3 linked regions of the Tamandua tetradactyla genome follow. Each later gene encodes a partner of the first gene's protein in a complex. Links are inferred from orthologs where the notes say so. Each region holds a gene or a part of one and is shown on either strand. Other genes may lie near its edges.

Evidence for each region.
Region 2: E2F1 (region 1) and TFDP2 share a complex: the UniProt entries of both Homo sapiens proteins name them as parts of the DRTF1/E2F transcription factor complex. The link is inferred for Tamandua tetradactyla from reciprocal best matches to the Homo sapiens genes E2F1 and TFDP2.
Region 3: the proteins of E2F1 (region 1) and CCNF are in contact, whole or in part, in a cryo-EM structure (PDB 9CB3), measured with the Homo sapiens proteins. The link is inferred for Tamandua tetradactyla from reciprocal best matches to the Homo sapiens genes E2F1 and CCNF. Residues at the interface, in NP_005216.1 of Homo sapiens: Gly84, Arg85, Pro87, Val88, Lys89, Arg90, Arg91, Leu92, Asp93, Leu94, Glu95, Thr96; in NP_001752.2 of Homo sapiens: Met309, Ile312, Leu313, Asp315, Trp316, Glu319, Val320, Met323, Arg349, Leu352, Gln353, Trp379, Leu380, Thr381, Asp382, Thr384, Asp504, Tyr505, Val508, Leu510, Thr511.

What each region holds. Positions count from the first base shown.
Region 1 is NC_135327.1:19,289,021-19,296,839, forward strand, and holds the start of E2F1 (transcription factor E2F1), read left to right. Parts: upstream 1-4,774; 5' UTR 4,775-4,789; coding exon 4,790-5,050; intron 5,051-7,819. UniProt on the Homo sapiens protein: Transcription activator that binds DNA cooperatively with DP proteins through the E2 recognition site, 5'-TTTC[CG]CGC-3' found in the promoter region of a number of genes whose products are involved in cell cycle regulation or in DNA replication.
Region 2 is NC_135341.1:86,245,254-86,252,556, reverse strand, and holds the start of TFDP2 (transcription factor Dp-2), read left to right. Parts: upstream 1-4,267; 5' UTR 4,268-4,353; intron 4,354-7,303. UniProt on the Homo sapiens protein: Can stimulate E2F-dependent transcription.
Region 3 is NC_135349.1:54,972,695-54,980,549, forward strand, and holds the start of CCNF (cyclin-F), read right to left. Parts: upstream 3,044-7,855; 5' UTR 2,530-3,043; coding exon 2,323-2,529; intron 759-2,322; coding exon 652-758; intron 1-651. Other genes in the region: ATP-binding cassette sub-family A member 17-like, read right to left, coding at 6,975-7,103, 7,605-7,678, 7,816-7,855. UniProt on the Homo sapiens protein: Substrate recognition component of a SCF (SKP1-CUL1-F-box protein) E3 ubiquitin-protein ligase complex which mediates the ubiquitination and subsequent proteasomal degradation of target proteins.

The sequences.
Region 1 (7,819 bases):
TGGCACTATAGAGATTGCTCCCTGAAAACTCTCCTGTGCTGCATAGGAGAATAACAAGAACTGTTTTTCTTTTTCCTTTTGGAAAAGTCAAGATGAGATGGAGACAAGTGCTTGAGTGAGTCATCCCTCATTCTTAATAGCAGCTGACATTTACTGATATGTTTGTGTGTGCCAGGTACTGTTTTAAACACTTTAAAAGCTCATCTGTCACAAAAACCCTATCAAGTAAACAATTATTAATGTCATTATGCCCATTTTACAGACTACAACACAGAGGTGCAGAGAGGCTGGGGAAGAGGCGGTAAGGAACTGGCAACGCTGTGGAGCCTGGGGTTTAAGCACTGTGGGCCCCTCGGCTCTGAGGCACCCTCACCCAGGAAGCTTGATTGCCGCAGGCATAGCCACTGTGTGCTGTTTTCCCCTCTCCTTGGAAAGGTGTGATCCCTCCTTAGGTGGGGGGGAGACAGAGGAAGGAAGCGGCCCTGGGGGAGCCTCAGGGAGAAGAGGGGCTCCCCCGACATGAGCTCTGGGCCGCAGTGGCCTGGAGGGTCGAGGCCCTGGCTAAATGAGGGGTGGCAACTGCTCAGCACTGTGATGACCTGGCCAGATGGCCAAACATTGCTGTTTTAAAAAGAGCCAGATCTTCGACTTTTTATATGGCGTTTCCCAATTTTTAAATGTTAAAACATTCATAATTAAGGGAAAAATACCCTATAAATCACACCTGTGGGCCAGTGTGCCCGCTCTGCTGTGCCTTGTTTCCACGTTTAAGCCTTAGGCCCATCTTGTTAAGGGAGTGTCATCCCTTGTTCCACAAATGAGGCCAGCAAAGCCCTTGGAGGGAGGGAGTCCCTTACCCGCGGTTACCCGCGGTTGCATAGGCAGGAAGCCACAGTGCTGGGGGGTCTGCCTAACTCCAAAGGCTGGCTCCTGGTAGAGCACCTCTCAGACCCAGCCAGAGCTGGCACAGTGACAGGACACCTCCAGGGACAGTAAACTGTCAGTCGGGCAGAGAAATCAGTCTAACAATGAGGGATCCTTCAAGAGGAATGAGGAGTTGGGGGCACAAAACTCCCCACCTCCCCCTCCCAGGACTGGACAATGGATGTCTTTGTGCCCCATAAAATAAAGGTGCCACAGAATCACTTCTGATTATGTACTCAGTATAATGATGGGATGTACATGCTTGGAGATTTTATTTTTTTTAAGCTCAACATATATGTATTTTGAGGGGCCATGTTTATGGAATAAATGGTTTTACCTTATTTGTGTCAATTGTCAAACTTCTTAACAAGTGTGTTGTGCAGGTGCATAGACAATTCTGACTCCCACACTGGACTGTGAGATACAGGTGTCAGAGATGAGTCCGGCTTTTCACAGCTGTCTCCCAGCACCTGGCACAATGTCTGACAAACAGTAGGTGCTCAGTGCAGATCTGTGGATCGAATCAGTGTGCCTCAGAGGTGAGGTGACTTGTCCAAGTTCGCACAGACCTAGATCCCTGTTTTGACCATGTGATTTAGAAGCCCAAGCTGTCACCCCTACATCATCCTGCCTCTTGGAAAGAACCAAGGGGAATGTGTCTTCTGAGAGAGAATTGTGGGTCCCCCTTTGGACTCCTCTTGAATGAAGAGTTAGTGGAGGTGGAAATGGGAGTAAATTCCTACGGAACCGCACTCCACCGTGCTACCTTTTGAAAGCTCTGCATCTCAGGGTAATTTTAGAGGGTGGTAGGGTATGAAGGGCAGACCCTGGGGACTGTAGAGGAGCAGGCTGCCGGTGAGGGCCCCTCTCTCAGCCTCCTTCCTTTGCAGCAATGTGGATAAACAGACATTACTTATCGGATTATCAAGTTGAAAGGTGATCACCAATTGAAGTGGCTGCCCAGTAATTGTGGATTTTTTTTTTTTAAGCCTACCAACCTAGCAGAGGAGAGCTGTTGACATTGGGAACAGACTTATCAGGATCTGCCAGGCTCAGGGCCAAGGAGCCCGATCTGTCAGATCTCTTCTGCTTACAAATGGTTATTAGTAAGCAGAAGATACAGAAAATATATAAGAGATATAGAAGGTCCTTATCTCTTCTAGATTTCATGCTGGGAATTCTGGCCTTTGCTTGGCCTCCTCCATCTAGACCTGCTCTTTTCTGCTGTGGGAGAAGGAAGGCACCTATTTCTACCTGAGAGGTTATGTGCTTGATCGCCTGGATGGGGGCAGGACCTGGTGGGGAGTGGGGAGGGGCAGGGTGGCAAGTAGGGCTTTAGAAAATCCCTGGCCTTGTCCGCACCAAGCCTGAATAATAGCCTTTTCCTCTACTAGGCCAAGCTCATGCCTTATCCTCTACTAGGTAAGCTTATGCCCTCTGAGCCTTGGTTTCCTCATTTCATTGTAAATTGGGGTAATAATAACAGCATCTGCCTTCCTTTCCAGCAACCAGCATGGTGCTCAGCACATGACAGGTATTCAGTGAGTGTTTGTTGAATGACTATTGGGTTTGAGAGGGCTTTACAAAAGTGAGTGTTCCTATTATTGGGACCCTATGAGAGGGTGTAGGCAAAGGAAATGTTCTCCATATGGAATGGGAATGTTGCCAGCTTCTCTCAGTCTGTCAGGGTCTGGCTTAGTTATTTAGTATGTCACCTATCCCTCAGCTTCTCTATTTTCAGGTAAAAGAAGGACAGGCAGACCCCAGGGCTGGGAATCTAGCGTGGGTCAGATCCTACAATTAACTGGCTTCACAGACCCTGGTCCCTGGGTATGCCTTAGTGTTTCCATTTGTACAGCAAGAGGCTTATGTGATCTCTGTGGTCCCTTCCAGCTCTAACACATTCTATGATTTTCATGAGTAACATCACAAACTGATCATTACAAAAGGAAAGACATTCCTGCTGCTTTCCTAAATCACCTCCAATCTATAGAACATTTGTAAAATCCTTTGTGCTTTTTATCCTCATGGCAACCCTGGAAGGGGCCAGGGCAAGGTCTATGTGCCATCTTACAGATCAGGAAACTGAGGCTGAAAATTTTCCTTAAGGGGCTGTAATCTAAGGCTTCACCACGCATCTTGGTTATACAGGTATACCAATTTGTCTCAAATGTTAGAGTACTTAAAAATCACCTGGATGGGGGTGGGAAGGGATATGTGTTTAAAATGTAAATTCGTGGGCCCTCAAAGATTCTAATTTAGCAGGGCTGGGATGGGCCCAAAGTTAACAGGTGCCTAGGTGATTTTGAAGTGATCAGGACCACTCTTGGAGAACCAGGGCCTCCTTGGTGCATTCTGGGTAGCCTCTGTTTCTTTCATAACCCTCCTCTGTGCCTGTTCTGAGCCAGGCCAGCGTGCGGAGGGGGGCGCTGTTGGAGATCTTAGTCTGATAGGGGAGGCAGATGGAGAAACCAAGAAGCGTGATCAGTGCCTGAACAGAGAGGCAGCAACCGGCAATGGAGGAAGTGAGTAACTCCGACTCTGGTGGGCTCCCTGAAGAAGTGGTATTTAGACTGGACCAGGGGATTTGATTTTCGTTTGTGCCTTAGTTACTTTTTTTTCTTGTAGATCACCCACACCAAACAGCACTAGATTTGTACAAGTTATCAAATCTTTCACATTTCTGTCCCCAGTGTTGACACAAGGCCTGGCACAGTGTTGAGGACAATACTGGTCAAATGGACTGATATGAGCAAGGAGAAATGGCTGGTGGAGATGTCCCAGGGCTTCCGGATTAAATGCATTTTTTGTGCTCAGTATCCCCACCTCCTTCCTTTGGTTAGGTCCTAACATGGGGTCACATTAATGGCGGAAATTCCTCATCATGCTGTAAACATTTGCCACCTCTTCCTTCTCATCCTTTCACTAGACCGTGAGATCCTTAGGGCCAGTAGTCAAGGTCTTAAATAAGGATGGAGCACAAGGCAGGCTCTCAAAACGATTGTTGAATGAGCGAATGAATGAATGAGTTCAGGTAGAAGCTTGTGCATTGGCTATTGAAGGGATTCCAGCTAAGATGCGGCTGCAGGAAAGCGCCAGGTCCATATCGAGTTCTTCCCGGTTTCCTGGCAGCCCCCTCGGTTTGGGCTCTGACTGGGTAAGACTGACGGGATTGGGAGGAGCGTAGGACTTGAGAGTAAACAGCATAGGTGGATAGGTGGGGCAAGTTGAGGATGGGAAATATGTCTGGGGCTTTGGAGGTGGGCCTGAGAATTCAGAAAGGAGGAGGAGGAAGTTTCTGGAAATCTGGGCTGAGGTATGAGGGCTGCAGGTTGGGAGTGTGGGCTGCAGGTCTGGGGGTCATGTGCTATGGGGCTGCAGACGGAGACGTGATAGCAGCAGAATGGAAGCTCTACACCATGGTCAGCAGGACCGAGCGCGTGGGGCGGGGGTGGGGCCACCACGCCTTGAGCAGGGGCCGTCCGGGTTGGGGGCGGGGAGTGTGAACGCGCCGGGCACCGCCCCGACAAAGCCTGCGCGCGCCCCGGACCGCGATTGGCTGCACCGCCCCGCGCCGCCGCCCCGTGCAGCCCGTCGCCGCCGGCCCGGCGCGCTGCAACCAGTGGGCGCCGCCGCCGCCGTCTTCGTCATAACCCGGGAAGCCAATGGCGAGGGCGCTAGGCGGCTCGTGGCTCTTTCGCGGCAAAAAGGATTTGGCGCGTAAAAGTGGCCGGGACTTTGCAGGCAGCGGCGGCCCCGGGCGGAGTGGGATCCGGAGCGGGATCGAGCCCTCGCCGCGGCCGGCCACCATGGGCCCGCGCCGCCGCCGCCGCTTGCCACCCGGGCCGCGCGGGCCGTGAGCGCCATGGCCGTGGCCGGGGCCCCCGCGGGCGGCCCATGCGCGCCGGCGCTGGAGGCCCTCCTCGGGGCGGGCGCGCTGCGGCTGCTCGACTCCTCGCAGATCGTCATCATCTCTGCAGCGCAGGACGCCAGCGCCCCGCCGGCCCCTGCCGGCCCCTCCGCGCCCGCCGCGGGCTCAAGCGACGCCGACCTGCTGCTCTTCGCCACGCCTCAGGCGCTCCGGCCCACACCCAGCGCGCCGCGCCCTGCGCTCGGCCGCCCGCCGGTACGGACACCAGGGCCACTGGGCCAAGTGCGCAGCCTGTACCCCCGCGCCGACCCGGGCGGGGCGCAGTGTTTGGCCCGGAGGCAGCGGGGGGCGAGGGGAGGGGTGGACTGAAGCCCTCGGACTGGGCGGTGCAGAGCCTGGGTTGAGCCTCCGGGCCCCGCCCCGGGGTGCTGGGTGACCTCGGGCCAGTCCCTGTTTGCCACTCGGTGCTGTGGGCTTCACCATCCTAATCGGAGCCACTTGAGGGTAGACTTGGTGATAATAGTGGCCCACGTGTATGCAGCTGGCGCTTACTGCATGCCAGGCCTTTGGTTGAGCCTTTGGTGGACTTCAAGCCATCTAAAACCCACAACCACGCTGCGAGCTCGGTGTTGTCACTGTGCCCATCTGACGGAGGAGGAACTGAGGCTCAGAGAGGGGAAGTGACTTATCCCCATCACACAACTGGCAAGTGGTGAGGCTGGAATTTGAATTGAGGCCTGCTGGCTTCACACCAGGATTTGAGGTTGGGGAGTGAGCATGGCTAGCTGCGGAGGAGGGTGGGTGGGTCGTCCTGGGGTTGGGCTTTTGGGGAGCATTGAGAAGACTCACCTTCCTGCCTTGATGATGATCTGCCAGGTGCAGGCCTGGCCCTCCAGGCCCCTGGGGACAGGCTGCCTGATTGGGAGGCCTTCTCTGCAGGGGCGGGATGGCTGGGCCAGCTGCTGATCCCCTCCCTCTGCCTGTCCTTCCATCTGCTCCCCTCCACCCTCCCAGGCCCTGGTTGCCATGGAACCTCATTAATCAGGCAGGCAGACCCTTGGGCCCCTGTGGAAGGATGGGGTGGGTTGGGCCTCTGAGCTGGAGGCAAGATCCCTAGTGCCAGAAGAGAGAAAATGTCCCAGAGAAATGCCCTGATAGAGTCTTTCCTGAGCAACGAGAAGCGCAAGAGCATTTCAGACTGGGGGGGCCCAGACGTGGCTGGATTATAGCCGGAGAAAGGAGAGGAGCCCCGGAGCTTGGACCTGTGGGCCACAGGACAGGGTGTGGAGACCAGTTTGACTGGCACAGCCTGTGGGTGAAGGTGGGGCACAAACGGGCAGGCAGGGGCTGGCCAGGAAGGATGGGGTCTCACGGGGGCTTGGAACAAGTGGGAGGGGCGAGGCAGGGCCCAGGACGAGGTGGAAACCACCCAACCGCTGATGGAGGCGCGGGTGGCAGCTGGTCCCAGAGGCATCCCAGGAGCCTCCCCTGGCCCCCTTGGCCCCATGCCCAGTGCTGCCTTCCTTCCGGAATCACCAAGATGCTAATAATAATAACAATAGCAGCCACCGTTGTTGGGAGAGTATTTTGTATGCAGGCTCTGCGCCAAGCACTTTATCCAAATTAACTCATTTAACCCTTTTACAGAGGGGGACGCTGAGGCCTCAGATTTTAGAACTTCCTCAGTTACTTAGCTTGCTAGTGGTGGGACCAGACTGATGAATTCAGCAGCAGTCCAGATTTCCTGAGCAGTTAGCTGCCGGGATGCCTCGCCTCCTGGAGATGCTGTTGGAAGTTGAATGAAACCCAGGTTGATTTTAGGGGCCCTTCCTTCTGATGAGTGAGTGGGTTGATAGTGTACCAGGGAGGGTACATATGCTTCCTATACTCCCAGTGGCCTGGCCCCGAGGGTACCAGCTTGGGGCCTGGGCAGGTAACTTCCATCTTGCTGACTGAGAAGATCTTAACAGGCCCAGGGCTGCAGGGACAGTGGCAGAGCCTGCAGGGGGGATGGGCTAGGGGCTGGATGCCACCAGCAGCATTCATTCTGCAGCTGGTGAGTTAGTGAGGACAGCTAAGCACGGGGTCAAATGAGGAGACCCTGTCCACAGTGCCTAAGGGCCAGTGAGCATTTTTCTCCTGGAGTGTGTGAGGGGGAGGGGCTGGAATCATTCTGGAGCTGAAGTTTAGAAACATCGGCCCAGCCTTTGCTCTCCAGCACCCCCAACTCTTGCAGCTGTGGGTAGCCACTAGGCAAAGAGCTGTGGTCTCCACTGACCCTCTGCACTGGCATTTGTTTGGGGGCAGTTCTGGAAAAAACTATAGTCTCAGCTTCTGTAGCAATGAGCGTTTATCAAGCACCTACTACATACAAGGCTCTGCAATTCAGCCATTCCTCCTGACCCTTTATGTCCACCTCCACCCTGCTGGTGGCCATTCAGTTTTTAAAAAAGTTTTCCCATTACAAATATATGTTTACTGTAGAAAAGAATTTAAGATAGTAGAAATTTGAACAACGATCCCAAATAAATCTTTTTCCTGTGTTTTCTTTCCCTAAGTATTTTTTTTTATGTAGTTATGACAGCCTTCATTTCCTAAGGGTTTTTAAAACTATCTTCTCTTAACTCCCTTGTTCTAATAGCACATTATTCCTACCATACAAATAAGGGAGCAATCCCCCTTGACGCCCTTATGCAAGCAGAGGTTGCTCCTGAAATGGATCAGTGTCATGGAAATGGTACCAAGGAAAACAGATTTCATGATTTGTTTTTAATCCAAATAGGGACCGTATTAATGCATTGCATTATAACAATGTTATGGCTTGTCAGTGTGTCTTTGATTCTTTGTCAGACTGCCTCAGTCCTCTTTGGCAGCCATATGGTATTCCAAGGGCTAAATAATCCACAGTTTTTGTGGCCTTCTGTCCCGGGTAGGAGGTTGAGTCTCGATTTTTCACCAGTGAATGTCTTTTCCTTGCTTTTCATGTCCCCTGTGCTAGGGTTTATTTAGAGGGTGGCCAGTAGG
Region 2 (7,303 bases), on another chromosome or scaffold:
ACTTAGCAAGAGAGATGATGTTAAACATAATGTTGAGGAAAAAAGGGTTTGTGGATAAATAATGGCTTGGCACCAAATACATGAGGTGCAAAAACATGCGAAACTAAAGAAGAGATTTGGCTAGGAGCACACAGGTGTCCAACTCAGAAAGAGAAACCCGGGATGGCGGTGCGGCCTGGGTGCCGGGCTCCTCTGGGAGGGCAGCGGGGCTGGTGGGGACGCCGGGGCGGCAGCTCTCCTCCTCAGGCTGCTGTGAGGGTCCAGCCAGAGTCCTCCGGCCTCACATCGCTTACTGTACATGTCTGAGGATGAAGAAGATATTTTATCGTAAAAAGGGCTTTAGGTTTGGGATTAAGAAGCTGCCTTTATTCCACGTGGCTGTGAAACCCTTCCCGTCCCCTAACAGTCACCCCAGAGGTGGACTGGCCTGGCCCCAAGGTGGCCCGACTGCCCACAGGACGTGTCCCCAGGGCAGGTCCGACCTGACGCTGGGTGTGTCGTTTCCCTTGGCAGCCCCGGGCAGATTAGGTGCCACGGGGCACTTAGAAGCAATCCTCTCTGGACCCCGCTGACCCTGGGCTGTGTCTGATGAGAAGCTGTGACCCAGCGTGTGGCTGCCTGCCCTGCGGCACGCCAGGAAGCGTGCTGGAAAAGCGGCCTACACTGCGCCCCAGAGCTGCGGGTCTGAACCCCGGCTGGAACCCCCTACGACTCCTGAGCGCATCCGTGTGGGAGAGGCCACAGGCAGGTGTCCTCACAGCCCACGCAGAAAAGAGCGTCCAGCGCCAGGAGTGGATGTGAGGATGGAGCGGTGGCAGGTCACCTGGTCTGTGACAGGTCACCAGGTCTAACTGTGGCAGGTCACCTAGTCTATGGTGGCAGGTCACCAGGTCTAAATGTGACAGGTCACCAGGTCTAACGTGGCAGGTCACCTAGTCTATGGTGGCAGGTCACCAGGTCTAAATGTGACCGGTCACCAGGTCTAACGTGGCAGGTCACCTAGTCTATGGTGGCAGGTCACCAGGTCTAAATGTGACAGGTCACCAGGTCTAACGTGGCAGGTCACCTAGTCTATGGTGGCAGGTCACCAGGTCTAAATGTGACCGGTCACCAGGTCTAACGTGGCAGGTCACCTAGTCTATGGTGGCAGGTCACCAGGTCTAAATGTGACCGGTCACCAGGTCTAACGTGGCAGGTCACCTAGTCTATGGTGGCAGGTCACCAGGTCTAAATGTGACAGGTCACCAGGTCTAACGTGGCAGGTCACCAGGTCTAACGTGCCAGGTCACCAGCTCTCAAAGTGACAGTCACCAGGTCTAACGGGGCAGGTCACCTGGTCTAGCTGTGAGGGAGGCTGGTCTTCCTCACACGGCGCTTGGCCCCCTAGTGGACAGCCCACACAAATGCAAGTGGGAGATTGACCCTCCTTCTTCCCCGACGCCCTCGGCCGCCGCACTCTCATCCCTTCCATAACACCTGCTCTTCTTCCCTTACGCACCGAAGAGACAGTAGCGAATACAGGGTGACAAGGCTGTGACCCCCCCAGAGTCACAGGATTCGGACACGAAGTGCGCAGTCACGAGTCCGGTGAGTGTCAGGAAGGCCGTCTGAGTCGCAGCGGAGCACAGCTGGGGTGGGGCTAGACGAAGCTTTTCCGGAGAAAGTAGTTAAGCTTAGACAAGAACTAGGGGATCGCTCGAAGCACCAGAAACACCAGATTAATGGAGCTTTTTGGACATTTATATTTACTTCTCCAACGCCCGCCACTGTTTCGGGCATACAGTAACTACTTCCTAAGTTTTTGCTGAATCAATAAGCTCGATTCTATCACGGTTTAGACATCTACTCGCCAGAACCGGGAGATGGTGGAAGCTTCATTTTCCTTTTCAGAGAGAAGAGGATCCTTTAATGGGGAAGTGAGAACGAAGAGGGAAAATTGACTGTTGTGCAAATTGCTCAGCTGGAGTTATGAGTGGGAAGGAAAATTTGATTTACATGAAGTTTTCCTCCCTGTGGCAACTTGATGATTTATTCTGTTCTAGAGAATTTTCAGTTTTTGGCTTCAAAACCAGGCTGTTCCTTATTCTGAATTTCTTGGCCTGCTGTGAAATCGGCTTTTATTGTCTTTTACAGCACGTTCTGATGAGCTCATGGAAATTCACAGCTAGATCACACCAGTATATGGGAAATTTGAAACTTGGTCCATTTTACGTTGTGGTATTAGGAAGTGTTGTGAAACACCTACACATTTTTTTCAAAATCAATATTATTGAATGATTATAACAATTTCCATCATTTCTTGAATATTTACTATATATATTATATAAGCAAAATCCTCATATTAACTGCAAGAAAGGGGAACTGCATGAAAATTGTCGAATACTGCCAATTTCATATGATTCAATTTAGTATTACCTTCACTTCACTCTTAACCTTAGAAACATTAATCCCCGATTTCTAAACCATACCCTTACCGCATAATTGGGCATACTTTTTTTTATAGATAAGAGATATACTGACAACTACAGCTTCTCAATAATGCCTTGCCGCCTAGTATAGTCCCCGAGCCCCAGTGTGTACTTGCACCATCGCTGCCTGACACGTGTATTGGGGGTGGGAGTCCCGTTCCCTGGCTGACCCAGTTCCTGGAAAGGGAGGTTCTGTCCGCCTCAGTCGTTTTTGCATCTTCAGTGCCTAGAGAGTTCGATAACTATTTGCTAAATCAAATTGAATATAACCTTAACAAAATTTCTTGTAGGCACTAAATAGATCCTTATGATTTGTTAGTGGAAAATGTAAGTTAATCGCTCCTCCGGGATTTTGGCATTTCAGGACTGGGGGAGTCCTGCATCCGGCGTTCTTGGATTCCGAGCCCTTTACCTAAGCGCAGTTACGCAGAAATTGTCCCCCACAAAGATCCACGGTGCTCTCGCCCCTCCATCCTCGTTTAACTGCTGTCTTCCTTGATCACCGTTTTTAATACTGAAGCCACCTGTGAGCACCTTCTATAATTAATTTTTCCGTAGCCTTGCCAGCATGTAACTTTCTATTCTGCTTATTTTTTCTCTATGGTCTTTCCCACCCCACTAGACCGCAAGCTCCACCGAGGCCAGCGGGTCTGTTTTGTCCACAGGTGTGTCCCAAGCATCAAAAACAGTGTCTGCCCTTGTGTCTGATGCTCCTTTTATCCGTGTATGGGCAGATGAGTAAAAAACAAAGATGAAAAACAAATAACAGGGGGGATAAGGTGTAAAATGAATTGGGTAGATGGGAATACTAGTGGTCAATGAGAGGGAGGGATAAGGGGTAGGGGACACATGATATTTTAATTTTTTTTCTGGAGTGAGGCCAATGTTCTAAAATTGGCCACGGTGATGTGATATGTGAACCGCTGGCTGTACACCATGGCTAGACTGTACGTGCGTGAAGGGTTCTCAATACACTTTTTTTTAAAGACATACTTATCAAGTGAAAAGTAAAAAAGAGCGTTTATGGGAACAGAGAAGCGCGGGAAGCCCGGACCCGCGCCGACTCCGAAGAGGGCGGGGCGGTGTGGCGCGCGGCCCCGCCCCAGGCGGGAGGGTTGGGGCAAGGTTTGTTTATCTTCGCACGCACGGCCGGCTCGGCCAATCCGCCGCGGGCAACGCCTTGCGTCATGCGTCCAGCGGACCAATGGGTGCGCCCCGTGCTGTCCCGCCGCCAAAGGGGGCCACAACGGCCCGACGGCGCCTCGTGGGCTCGGGGCCGCGGCGGGAGCACACTTGCCGGCCGGTCGCTGCCCCGCGGGGCCGGGAAGGGCAGCGTCCCGCGCTTGCTCCGCTCGCGGCGCGGGGTGACCGCCGTGGGCCCGCCCTCTGTCCGCTCCGCCGCCCGGCCCGCGCCGCGGAAGGGCCGCGTTCTCCGCGGGCCTCGGAGGCGGGGCTGGCCGGTCGCTCCTCCTCCGTCGCGGGGCCGGGTGTGGTGTTCCTGAGGGACGCCCTGGAGGCCAGTGGAGGGAAGGGCCCCGCGCCGCGGTCCTCCTTCCCCGGAGATGGCCCCCTCACGCAGACGCAGCCTCCGCCCGTCCTCGGCGAGGCAGAAGCACGACCTCGGTGCCGCTCGGGACGACCCGGAGAAGTCGGCGTGGAGGACGGCCCGCGGCAGCCCGCCTCCCCGGTCATTGGGCCGCCTGTCGCGCGGCGGAGACACCGCCCCCGTGGCTGCGCGCGCCTGCCCCCCCCGCCCCGCCCCGCCCCGCCCCCAGCCCGGCGGAGATGCGCCGCCCGGAGCCGCCCCCCGCACGCGCCTCCCGGGGCCCCCAGGGCCGCGCCGCCCGCCGCCTTCTGGGAGTGCAGGGGCAGCGGCAGCGATGGGGTGCGTACGTTGGCTCGTCGAGTTCCGAGACTTGCTAACCCTCCCTTCTCAGCTTTCCTCCTTTCTGCTTGTTTACGTAGGAAAGAAAGCTGAAACTTTCTAGTGTGCAGGACTTCGCATTGCCATTTTGTGATCCTGTCATTTTCCGCCAACTCCTGTGAATGTGTGGTCCAACGGGCTCCTTCGTATTTTCCCGTTACAGCCGAAATTCTGAAACTACCTGGTCTGTGTACGCTGCAGTGCAGCTTGAAATGGGGTGTAGCAATAAGCTCACCTTTCATGTGGAAAGCGTGTGCTTGTGGATCAAAGCTGTACGCTAAAACATACCCTAAAATGTTCAAAGAGCAACTTGTTTAATTAGGAATTGAGATGTTAGAAATACTGTCTTGTTTTGTACATAATGCATGAATTATATTTACATAGCACTTAGCTGTTTTAAACATTTTTTATTATGATATATATACAAATCAATAAATTCCAACGTTCATTGTATCCAGGAGTTATAGAACAGATTTCAGAGTTTGGTATGGGCTACTGTTAACAGTTTTAGGTTTTTCCTTCTAGCTGTTCCAAGACACTGGAGATGAAAAATATCAGTATAATGATATTATATTGTTTATGTTATATTGTTAAATCCTGTCATCTCTGTTACAACTCCTCCTTCTCCTTTCATCCTTCTCCCAGTCTTTATGGGTTGTTTGGGTTATGCCCATTCTAACGTTATCATGTTGGAAAGGGGTGTCAAGAATATGGGCTCAGAAGATGGAACTAGTGAGACTGGCTTCTCTGGTTTTCAGGACTTATCTAGTCTAGGATCTCATCTGGAGGTTGTGTGTTTCTGAAAAGCAACCTTAATTCGTGAAATTTTTGTAGACTCTCACATAGAGTCGTAGGTGTTCTTTAGGGTTAACAGGAATGGTTTTGGTCACAGTTTGCAGACCTTGGTAATTAGCAATAGCTAGCTGAAGCTTGCATAAGAGCAGCCTCCAGAATAGCCTCTTGACTCTGTTTGAACCCTTTTAGCCACTGACACATTGTTTTGTTACAGTGTTGTTCCCCCCTTTGGTCAAGAAGGTGTTGTCTCTTCTGTGGTGCCAGGTCCAGGCTGGTCCCTGGGAGTCATGTCCCATCCTGCCAGGGAGACTTTCACCCCTGGATGTCTTGTCCCACGGTAGGGGGGAAGGGCAATGATTTCACTTGCAGAGCTGGGCTTGGAGAGGGAGGCACATCTGAGCAACAAAAGAGGTTTTCTGGAAGTCACTCTTAGGTATAACTATAGGTAAACTTAGGCTCTCTGCTACAGAAATAAGCTTCACAAAAACAAGTGTCTAGGCACTTTGCTATTTTAAAAGGCTTTTTATGTATTTGAGAGTTTTTAGAACATGGTAAGCAAATAGAGTAAGAAAAATAAAATAAACAAAAAAGGTGGTGAACTAGAACCTAAGTATTCTGATTTCTAGTCCATTGTTTCTTTTATCATTATAATTAGAGAAATTGTTGGTTTTCAGAACAATCATGTAGAAAGTACAGAGTTCTCACAAACCCATATACCTCCCCTCTACCTGCATGCCTGTCGTTTTCCATATTACTAACAGATTGCATTAGTGTGCTGCTTTTGTTTCAATTGATGAAACGGTATTACTGTAGATAAACTATTAGTTGTAGGCCATAGTTTACATACATTAGGGTTCATTCTTCAGGTTGTTCAGTTCTATGGTTTTTTAAAATTTTTATATGATAACATATAGATACAACTAAGAATTTCCCATTTTAACCACTTTCAAATATACATTTAAATGGTGGTAATTGCATTCACTGTGTGCTACCATCACTACCATCTGTTATGAAAACTTTTCCATCACCACGTAGAGAAACTCTTTACCCGTTAGCATTAATTCTTCAGTCTTTGACTCCATGGCATCCTCTGGTAACCTGTGTTCTAGTATTTGACTTTATGAATTTGCACATTCTAATTATTTCATATCATTGAGATTATACAATATTTGTCCTTTTGTAGCTGACTTATTTCATGCAACATGATGTCTTCAAGGTTCATTTATGATGTAGCATGTACCAGAACTTCATTCCTTTTTGTGGCTGAATAATATTCCATCATATATATATATATACCACATTTTGTTTATCCATTCATTATTTGATGGACACATCGGTTGCTTACCTCTTTTGGCAGTTGTGGCTAATGCTACTATGAATATCAGAGTGTAAATATCTGTTTGAATCTCTGCTTTCGATTTTCCTGGGTATATACCTAGCGGTGGGATTGCTGGATCATATGGTAGTACTCTAGACTTCTGAGAAACAACTAAACTCTTTTTCACAGTGGCTGCACCGTTTTGCCTTGCCACCAGTAATGAATGTATATTCCTGTTTCACCACATCCTCTCCCACACTTATTATTATTATTTTTAATAGTGTCCATTCTAGTGGGTGTGAAATGGTACCTCATTGTGGTTTTGATTTGCATTTCTCTAATGGCTAATGATGTTGAGCATCTTTTCATGTGCTTATTAGCCATTCGTATATTCTCTTTAGAGAAATGGCTATTCTAGTTCTTTTGCCCATTTTTTGATTGGGCTGTTTTGTCTTTGTTGTAGAGTTGTAGGATTTCTTTATATATTCTGAATATTAAACTCTTATCAGATATATGTCTTCCAAGTATTTTCTCCCATTCCATAGGTTGTCTTTTTGCTTTCATGATGAAGTTTTTTGATGCACAAAAATTTTTAATTTTGATGAGGTCCCATTTCTCTTTTTTTCTTTTGTTGCTTATGATTTTGGTGTAAAGTATAAGAAACCGTGGCCTAACATAAGAAAACATGTTTTATTCTAGGGTTTGTATAGTTTGGGTTCTTATATTTAGATCTTACATCCTTTTTGCATTAATTTTTGTAAATGGTATGTAGTAAATGGTATCCATTTCTCCTTACAC
Region 3 (7,855 bases), on another chromosome or scaffold:
TCAATAAAAAATATATACCAATGATGCAGAAGCTGCTCAAGCTCGGCAAAAGCAATACAGAAGTCTGGCATTTGTGCACCAACTTGGCTCTCTGCCTGGATTTCAAGCAACTCAGAAATAAGGGCCAGAATGAACCTAAGTAGGCATGTGAGCCTCAGCAAGGAAAAGCCCCTCCTGAGTCATGGCTTCTTGGTTTGTTAATTGAGGAGGCTCTAGCAGACTCTGGTTCTGAGGTCAGATGTCATGGGATTAGTTGTACCCCTGCAACCGTGAACCTGGTGGGTGGCACAGAGGGGGTCATGGGGCCCCTCTGGTCCTGACCCTGGCAGGTGGGTTATGACCAGCCAGTGACTGAAATGGGGTAGGACCGAAATCACATGTTCTTATCTAATGGAAAGGAGGTCTGAGTAAAGCTTCCATATACAGCTGGCTTGCCAGTGAGTCACATGGAATGGGTCACGCCCAAGTGGGACCCTTCAGAAGCCCCACTGTGATGGATGCCAGCATGTGGATCACTGGACACGCAGTGTGATTTACTGGCTATATCATGGCCAACAGCAATGCTGGCGGGAGTCAGACCATGGGACATAGGCTCCCAGCCAGAGGACTGATATGGGGGGAAACCGAGCCACTCTTGGGCTGTAGACATACCTTTCAAAGAGCTTCAGATTCTTTGGAGACGGCCAGAGTTCCTGGAAGCTTGCACATGCCCAGATGCTGGCATGATGGTCTACCAGGAACTTCAGCTGGGAGTGCACCTGCAGAACGGCAGCCAGGTGGGGGACCATCAGAGGACCTCCCAGAAGACCCATTCCCAGACGCTCTAGAAGGCTGGACATGGAAGTTGCCTCTTACAGGGTCTCCCATTTTCCTCCGAACCCCAAATAGTAAAGGATGCCAATAACAGTTGCTTTTAATAGAAGAAAGAGTCCAGAGGTGAGTTTCTCTGAGGCTCTAAAGGTGAAGACAGAGGTCTTGGAAAGGGAGGAACAAATGCCTGGGTTGGGAAAGAATGAAGTCCCCTCTACAGAGGTGCCTGTCTGCAGAGATCAGAGGAACTGGCTCTAAAGGGGGTAGGCAGGACAGCAATCTGTTTTGCGCTTCTTTCCCTGGGGCCTTGCAAGTGGGAGCATGGCCTGCATCCCCCAGGTGGTGGGGACCAGTGGAAACGGCTATAACACTCACGTAGGAGCTATAGGTAACCAGGGAGCCTCTGCTGGGGTGGAGGCAGCAAGGCCTCTGGGCTGGGCTGAGGCCAGGGGGGCATCTGGAGCCAATACCTTTCCACTGCCATCGGAAACCCCCTGGGTTCCATGCAATGAATTACAAGTGCGATGAAGGCAGCTTTGGGTGGGAGAGGAAGGGGTTCCTGTTGAGTTTTCACACTAACTTGCAGTATGATAGTGAAGTTACTCAACATGAATCACTCTGAGGCTCGGGTTCCAGTATCTATAATTACTAGAGTGCCTTTCAGTGTGGAATATTACATGGAAATGTCCTCAAGAATACATCCTTATCCATTTTTTTTCCTTTTCCATTTAATACTGTTTTAATTCTTAAGTAATTCAAATTTTACTGCCATACAAGGCAGTAAACTACTTCCTTAATTGAAATAAAACAGCACAGAGAACCAAAAATGTCCAAGCTCAGACTGCTACATTTAAACTTTCCTGTAACTGGAAACAAAACCACAACCATCTATCAACAACATCATCTTCTTGCCCTGTGCCCTCCTTTAGAGCAAAAGTTTTGTTCTGCTCATTAAGAACCCAAGCCTTGGTGGTTCAGTGAACCACACTGGGGCTGGCCCTATTTGTTTTTTTTTTTTAATTGTGAAAAATAATGCATGTACAAAAAAGCAATAAATTTCAAAGCACACTGCAACAATTAGTTACAGAACAGATTTCAGAGTTTGGTATGAGTTACAATTCCACAATTTTAGGTTTTTCCTTCTAGCTGCTCCAAGACACTGAAGACTAAAAAATATCAATATGATTCAGCAGTCATACGCATTTGTTAAATCCTATCTTCTCTGTTATTACTACTCCTTCTCCTTGATTTTTCTTCCAATCTTTAAGGGTATCTGTGCGATGCCTATTCTAACTTTTTCATTCTGGTAACGGGTGTCGACAATATGGGATGGGGGATAGAACTAGTTGATGTTCTGGAGAGGCTGGGCCCTCTGGGTTTCAGGACTTATCTGGTCTAGGAAGCTATCTGGAGGTTGGAAGTGTCTGGAGAGGAATCATAGTGCAGGGAAACTTTGTAGAATCTCAGATAAAGCCCGAGGTGTTCTTTGGTCCTATCTTCAAGGCAACTCACAGCTTGGACAGCGAGGATATCCCCTACAGAAAGCCACTTCAGGATGTGAACCAGTACATCTTCGGGAAGACTCAAAAGAGTTAGGTTTCGGGGTCTTTTTCTTATTCTTCTCTTTGTAGGATAACAGAAACACTTGGCACACCTACAGTGGATCACTTCGGGAAAAAAGATCAGAACAGTATGAGTGACGTACTGGAAAGGAGTCATGAAGATATCAAGAGTTGTATTGGAAGATGCTTTAACAGTTGCTGTCCCATATCCCACAAAGAAGGAACAGATCACATTTCTACTTCCAAACAAAGATTAAATAAAGGAGTAGTATATGTGACAAAGTATAGATGACATAATAATTGGCTTAAATATTCAATTAACATTTATGGAAAATAGTAGATACCATGTACTTGGCTACTAGGAAACTTTCTAGGCAGAACTAAGTGACAACCAGACAGAGAAAAAAAACAACACTGACCAACAGGAATGATACTTTTCCTTGCATTCCATTCTCAGGAAAACCCTCTGAACCCTTGCTTGGATTATCTGCTTCTATCTTCACTAAAAGGCACAACGTTCAGTGTCTGAGGACTTGAATAGCCTGGTTGTAGGCCCTCCTGAAGGAGGGTCAGCCCCACCGAGGAACCAAGGCCAGGCCGTGTCGTCTCGTGTCCAAGTCTGGGCTCTGCTGCCTCCTGCGAGGGGCTACCAGAGGCTGCCAAGCCCTCGGCGTCCCACGCCCAGCTCCTCGAGGCAGGAGACGCCAGCCCCTCGGCAGGGCTCCTAGCCATCCCATCGCAGAGCAGACCCGCGGGGACCCTCTCCCCCAGGGCGGCTCCGACTTGTACTCCGGCAACTCCTGCCTCATCCTACGGTGCGGCCTGACCCATTTCCTGGGAAACCAGACCCACCAGGCGGGAACCCGCAGATCCTGCGCTGCCTTTCCAGTCGCCCGCCCGCCCGCCCTCGGGAGGGAAGGTTGCTTCTCGCCACCGGCCGCGCGGCCGCGACCCCGCGCCCTTCTCGGAGCGTCTCTCCGCCGACCGCCCCGTCGGGACCTGTGTCTACCTCCGGGCGGCCAGTGCCCGGCGTGTGTGCTTCACCCGGGACTGACCCCGACCCTGCCCGGGCCCGCGCGCCGCCCCCACGCTGAGGGCCCACTGGGGACCCCCAGCGCCCGCGGGCCGGGACCCTCAGCGCCGCCCGCCACTGCGCTCGCTCCCGGTTGCGGCGCCCGCCCGGCCTTCGGGCCACCCGCGCCCCGCTATGCTCCCAGGAGCGGGCACCCCATCCCGGCCCCTCGAGCCGGCTGCCACCCAGCCGCCTGCCCCGCGCCCCGGCCCGAGCCCCCAGCCCGCACTCACCGCCGCCGCTCCCCATCGCCCGCCCGCTCGCGCCGCCCGAGTGCGCGCCGCCGCCGCGCAGGCGCAGACCGCGCCCGCCTCCCGCCGCGGTTTCAAACGCGCCCGGTGTTCCTATTGGCCGGCCCTGGGGGCGCGGGCCGCCGAGCCCCGCCCCTCCCCGCCCACCCCGCCCGCCTCAAAGTCCCCGGGAGCCCTCGATTGGCCGCGCCAGGACGCGAATTCGAACACCGGCCGTTCATTGGCGGAGCTCGTGCAACCACCCCGCCTCCGCGGGCTGCGTCCCCAGGGAGCGCGCGGCTGTTGGGCGCGACCCCCGGGCACCGGGTGTCCCGTCCTCGCGCCGGAGGTCCGCGACGCCGTTTGTCTGGGATGCGGTGCCCGGGGTCCTGCCGAGGGCCGTGGCCGGCGTCGCCGAGAGCCAGGCAGATCCGATCCCCGCAGACCCCAGGGCACTTCTCTCCACAGGTTGGGCCCTTCCTCCCGGAAACGGCTCCCGTGCCCCCAGCGGCTCCTTAAGTCCCTGGCTGTCCAGTCTCTCCTGCCTCCGAGGACCAGGCCATCCCTGCTGGTTTGGCCTGCTTGCTGCCGGTCCACAGGGAAAGTTTCACACTCGGGGCATTCTATTCACCCCGCACTGCGCACTGTCCACCCGGGCCTGCCCTCCACTGCCCAGCTTCACCCCCACCTCTTTCTTGAGACATTCTGTCAGGAAAGAAAAGGCATCTCTACGGAGAAGTGAGATGTTTCATAGAAAGAGTGGCTTTTCCTCTGAGGAGCGAGGGAGACCTGTTCGGGTGTCCGGCAGTCCCCCATCCCTCCTGCTCACTGAGCTTGCTACAACTTGTCTGTGCTGGGTGGGTGCACACAGCTAAGGAGCCTTGGAGTCAGGGGTCAGAGCAGGAGACAAGTGTGCAGGTCAGGAGAGGCCAGGAAGGCCCAAAGGCATATTAGACGAGGCCTAAAAGTTGGAAATAGTCCCTGCCCCAAACTGAGGAAGGGGGTTCAGGAGGCTGAGAGAGGACAGGGTTGAGCCTGCTGGCGCTGGATGGGGGACTGCTTTCTGGATGTCCAGTATTGCCACAGGAGGAAGGGGAAGCACCCACCAGGGCTTCTGACATACCAGGCTCCCCTCCCTCCCCCCTGGTTACTATATCCCCCATGGTGTAACTCAGCAGCCTAACTCCTCCGCGCCCTGTTACTTTGTTACCTGTCTTCCTGAAAGAGTTGCACTCTTTTCTGGCTAGTTTTGTTGCCTCCTTTGAGGGATTACAGAACTAGGCTAAATCAGCAGCCACACACTGCTCCCACTCACTCTGCACTGGATGCAGATCCCACATCATGCTGTCTAAAATATCACCCTATTACTCCAAGGACCTCAGCTGCCTCTTAACTCTTATTTACTAAGAGCAAGGTCTTATTTTTCAGGAAACAGGTGTTCTCTTGGCAGCAGCTGTAGGTAGTGTTCAGTCACCACTCCTCTCACCTCCCATCCACCACACTGGCAGCAAGAGCCGGGAGGGCCAAACCAGAGCTACGAGCAGCTCATAGAAAGTATGGGGATGGGCTAGAGAACTTGAAAACTTCTAGATTGGCAGGAGCCCAGGGAAGATCCTGGCTGGAATGAGGTGGGGGTAAATGAGAAAGCCAAGGGTGGCAGGGTGCAGAGGGAAGAGTAAGGAAAGCGAAGTAGGCTGGGAGCCTGAGGGATGCCCCCATTTAGACACAAAGGAAGAGGACGGAGCCTGCATCAGAGACAGGAGTGATGGGGAGGCCAGAAGGCAGTGAGCAGCAGTGAGGAAGAGGCTTTCCTCCAGTAGCAGAGGCTGCGAGTAGTGCCTTGGAATTCGAATGAAGGAAGGACTAAGAGAAGCCAGTGGGCATGGTAATTAGGGTGTGACAAAGCTCTAATTCTGGCTGAGAGGTGGGCATAGGAGTCAGGTGGGCACAGGAGTCAGACTAGCTGTGCTGATAGAAAGTGGACCACACTTTCCTGAAGCTTGGCTGAGAAGGAAAGGAAAGAGCTCCTCAGACATCAGAATGGCAGCTGAGGGTCTTTCTGAAGGGAGCCAATGGTGAGAGGTAGTTGGACTTCATTGGATGGAGAGGGAAAGGCTGTGTGATGGAGTGCCGTCTCCAGGAGAATCTGTGTGGCCAGCACAGCCCCCCTGCCTGCCGCTCTCAGTGGCTCTCAGGCTGGCACAGCAGCATCACCTGACAGGCTGTTATATTGCTGACTGCTGGGCTGCCCTCCTAGAGTTCCTGAATCAGAGGTCTGAGGTGGGGCCTGAGAATCTGCATTTTAACCAGTTTCTGGATGCTGCTGATGCTGTTGGTCCAGGGCCCAGGTGCTGCTATCTGTTGACCTGGGAAGGGGCCACACTGTCTGTCTCAGCTTACCCTTCTTGAAATGGGGAAGCTAATCAGGTCCATGTAGCATGAAATGCAGGTTCACCCCAAACACTGGCAGGCGCCAGGGCAAGGGAGCAAATGGGGGCCTGTATATGTAAACATTTAAATATTTTAAAAGTATAAACTACTTTTAGCTAGCAAACTTAAATATGCTCTCTCCTACCTTACCTTCATTATGACCTGGGAGGTCAGGTTTGAATTTAGAATTCCTGGACTCTTTGAAGTGCCACGCTTGAACGTGGTATCACGTGGCATCATGTGGCAAGCCACCCAGCCCTGGTGTGTGGCCGTCCCCTCCTCTCCCATCCCTGATTCCACTGTGTATGCTGAGGGATCTGTGTGCCACTGTGTGGACCCCAGCACACCTGTCCAAACCCTGCCCACGGCAGTGCACACAGCTGCCATGCCCGACCCATGCGTGAGGGAGGGAGGACATGTGGCTCTGAAGTAGATGAGGAAGGGGTTCTGGAGAAGGAAGGGTGTAGGCTCTGGGGAAGCATATCCCCTCAGCTCTGCAGACTCCTTGCCCGTTAGCAAAGCTGAGGCCTGGTCTGAGGGCCATGCAGATGGGTGGGAGCCCTGCCAAGCACTGAGCACAGAGCTGTGGCAGACAAGGTCTCTGTATCACTATGAATAGGACGTGGCTGACCTGGATGAGGCCACAGCCAACTTTTGCACTAACACACCCCCAGCACTTCCACCAAGCCTCCAAGCTGGGTTGGGCCCAGGTGGAGAGCTATGTGCTTCTCTGCCTGGTACTGTCCACGGCAAACATCCATACCCTGGGCTAGTCTGGGCACCAGGAACCCTTTATTATAGCAAGACAAGCTGCCATGTGAGAGCAGGACCTGGGGCGAGGGAGGCCCAGTGGCTTTGCTCGCGCTCATGTTAACTCGCTCCCCTGCTTAGGGCCGTGGGGCTGTTGAGGCTCAGGAAGATGTCCTCCAGGGTGATCTGGCTGACTGAGTAGTCGTCCAGGGAGTACTCCTCCTTGGCTCGCTCCAGAGTCCCAAACACCTGAAGGAAGTAAGGAGAGTGCTGTCAACAGGGCCCGGAGGAGGACCGGGCTCGCCAGGAAGGAAGGGCACTGACAAGGGGAAGGCAGCAGAGGGGTGGAGAGGGGGAAGTCTCTTGGGTTGCAACAAGGACCCCCATAGGCCCATCCCTCTCTCAAATGCCCCCAGAGCACCTTCCAGGAAGTAAGTTCTCCAGTTCGGCTGTGTGTGCACTCAGGGGAAAGGGCCTCTGGCTGGGAAGGGCCTCTGAGTATGTGGCAGGCCCTCCCTGGGCCTACGCCCCCTCTGTGAAATGAGGGGATGGGCAGAGCTGATCTCCGCAGTCCCTTCCAGCTCAAACACTTATGTTGTATGAAATCCTTGTGAACGTTGCCATGGAGACATCAGAAGAGGACCTGCAGCAGCATGGAATGTGATTCCCACCCAAAAGAGAAAGGAATCAAGTCGCCAGAGAGCGGTGACCTCCTTGGTGTGCTGTCCCAGATGCCAGGCATACACTCACCTTTGCCCAGCTGAGGCCGTAGCTGGGCAGGTGGTAGTGGACCATTCCTTGGTGCTCATCTTCCAGGACGCAGCCTGCACAGAGGAGAGACCGTTTCTCTCTAGGGCCAGGCTGGAGGCCGGGGAGGGCGGCCTGGGCACATAGGCCCGTGCGCCTCAGCCTGGGGTTCAGGGATGTGGGATGGAAGGAGGCTGCCAGAGCTGGCACACACCTGGGAAGGTCAGGTTCACGAAGGCCTTGAACTTCTCCAG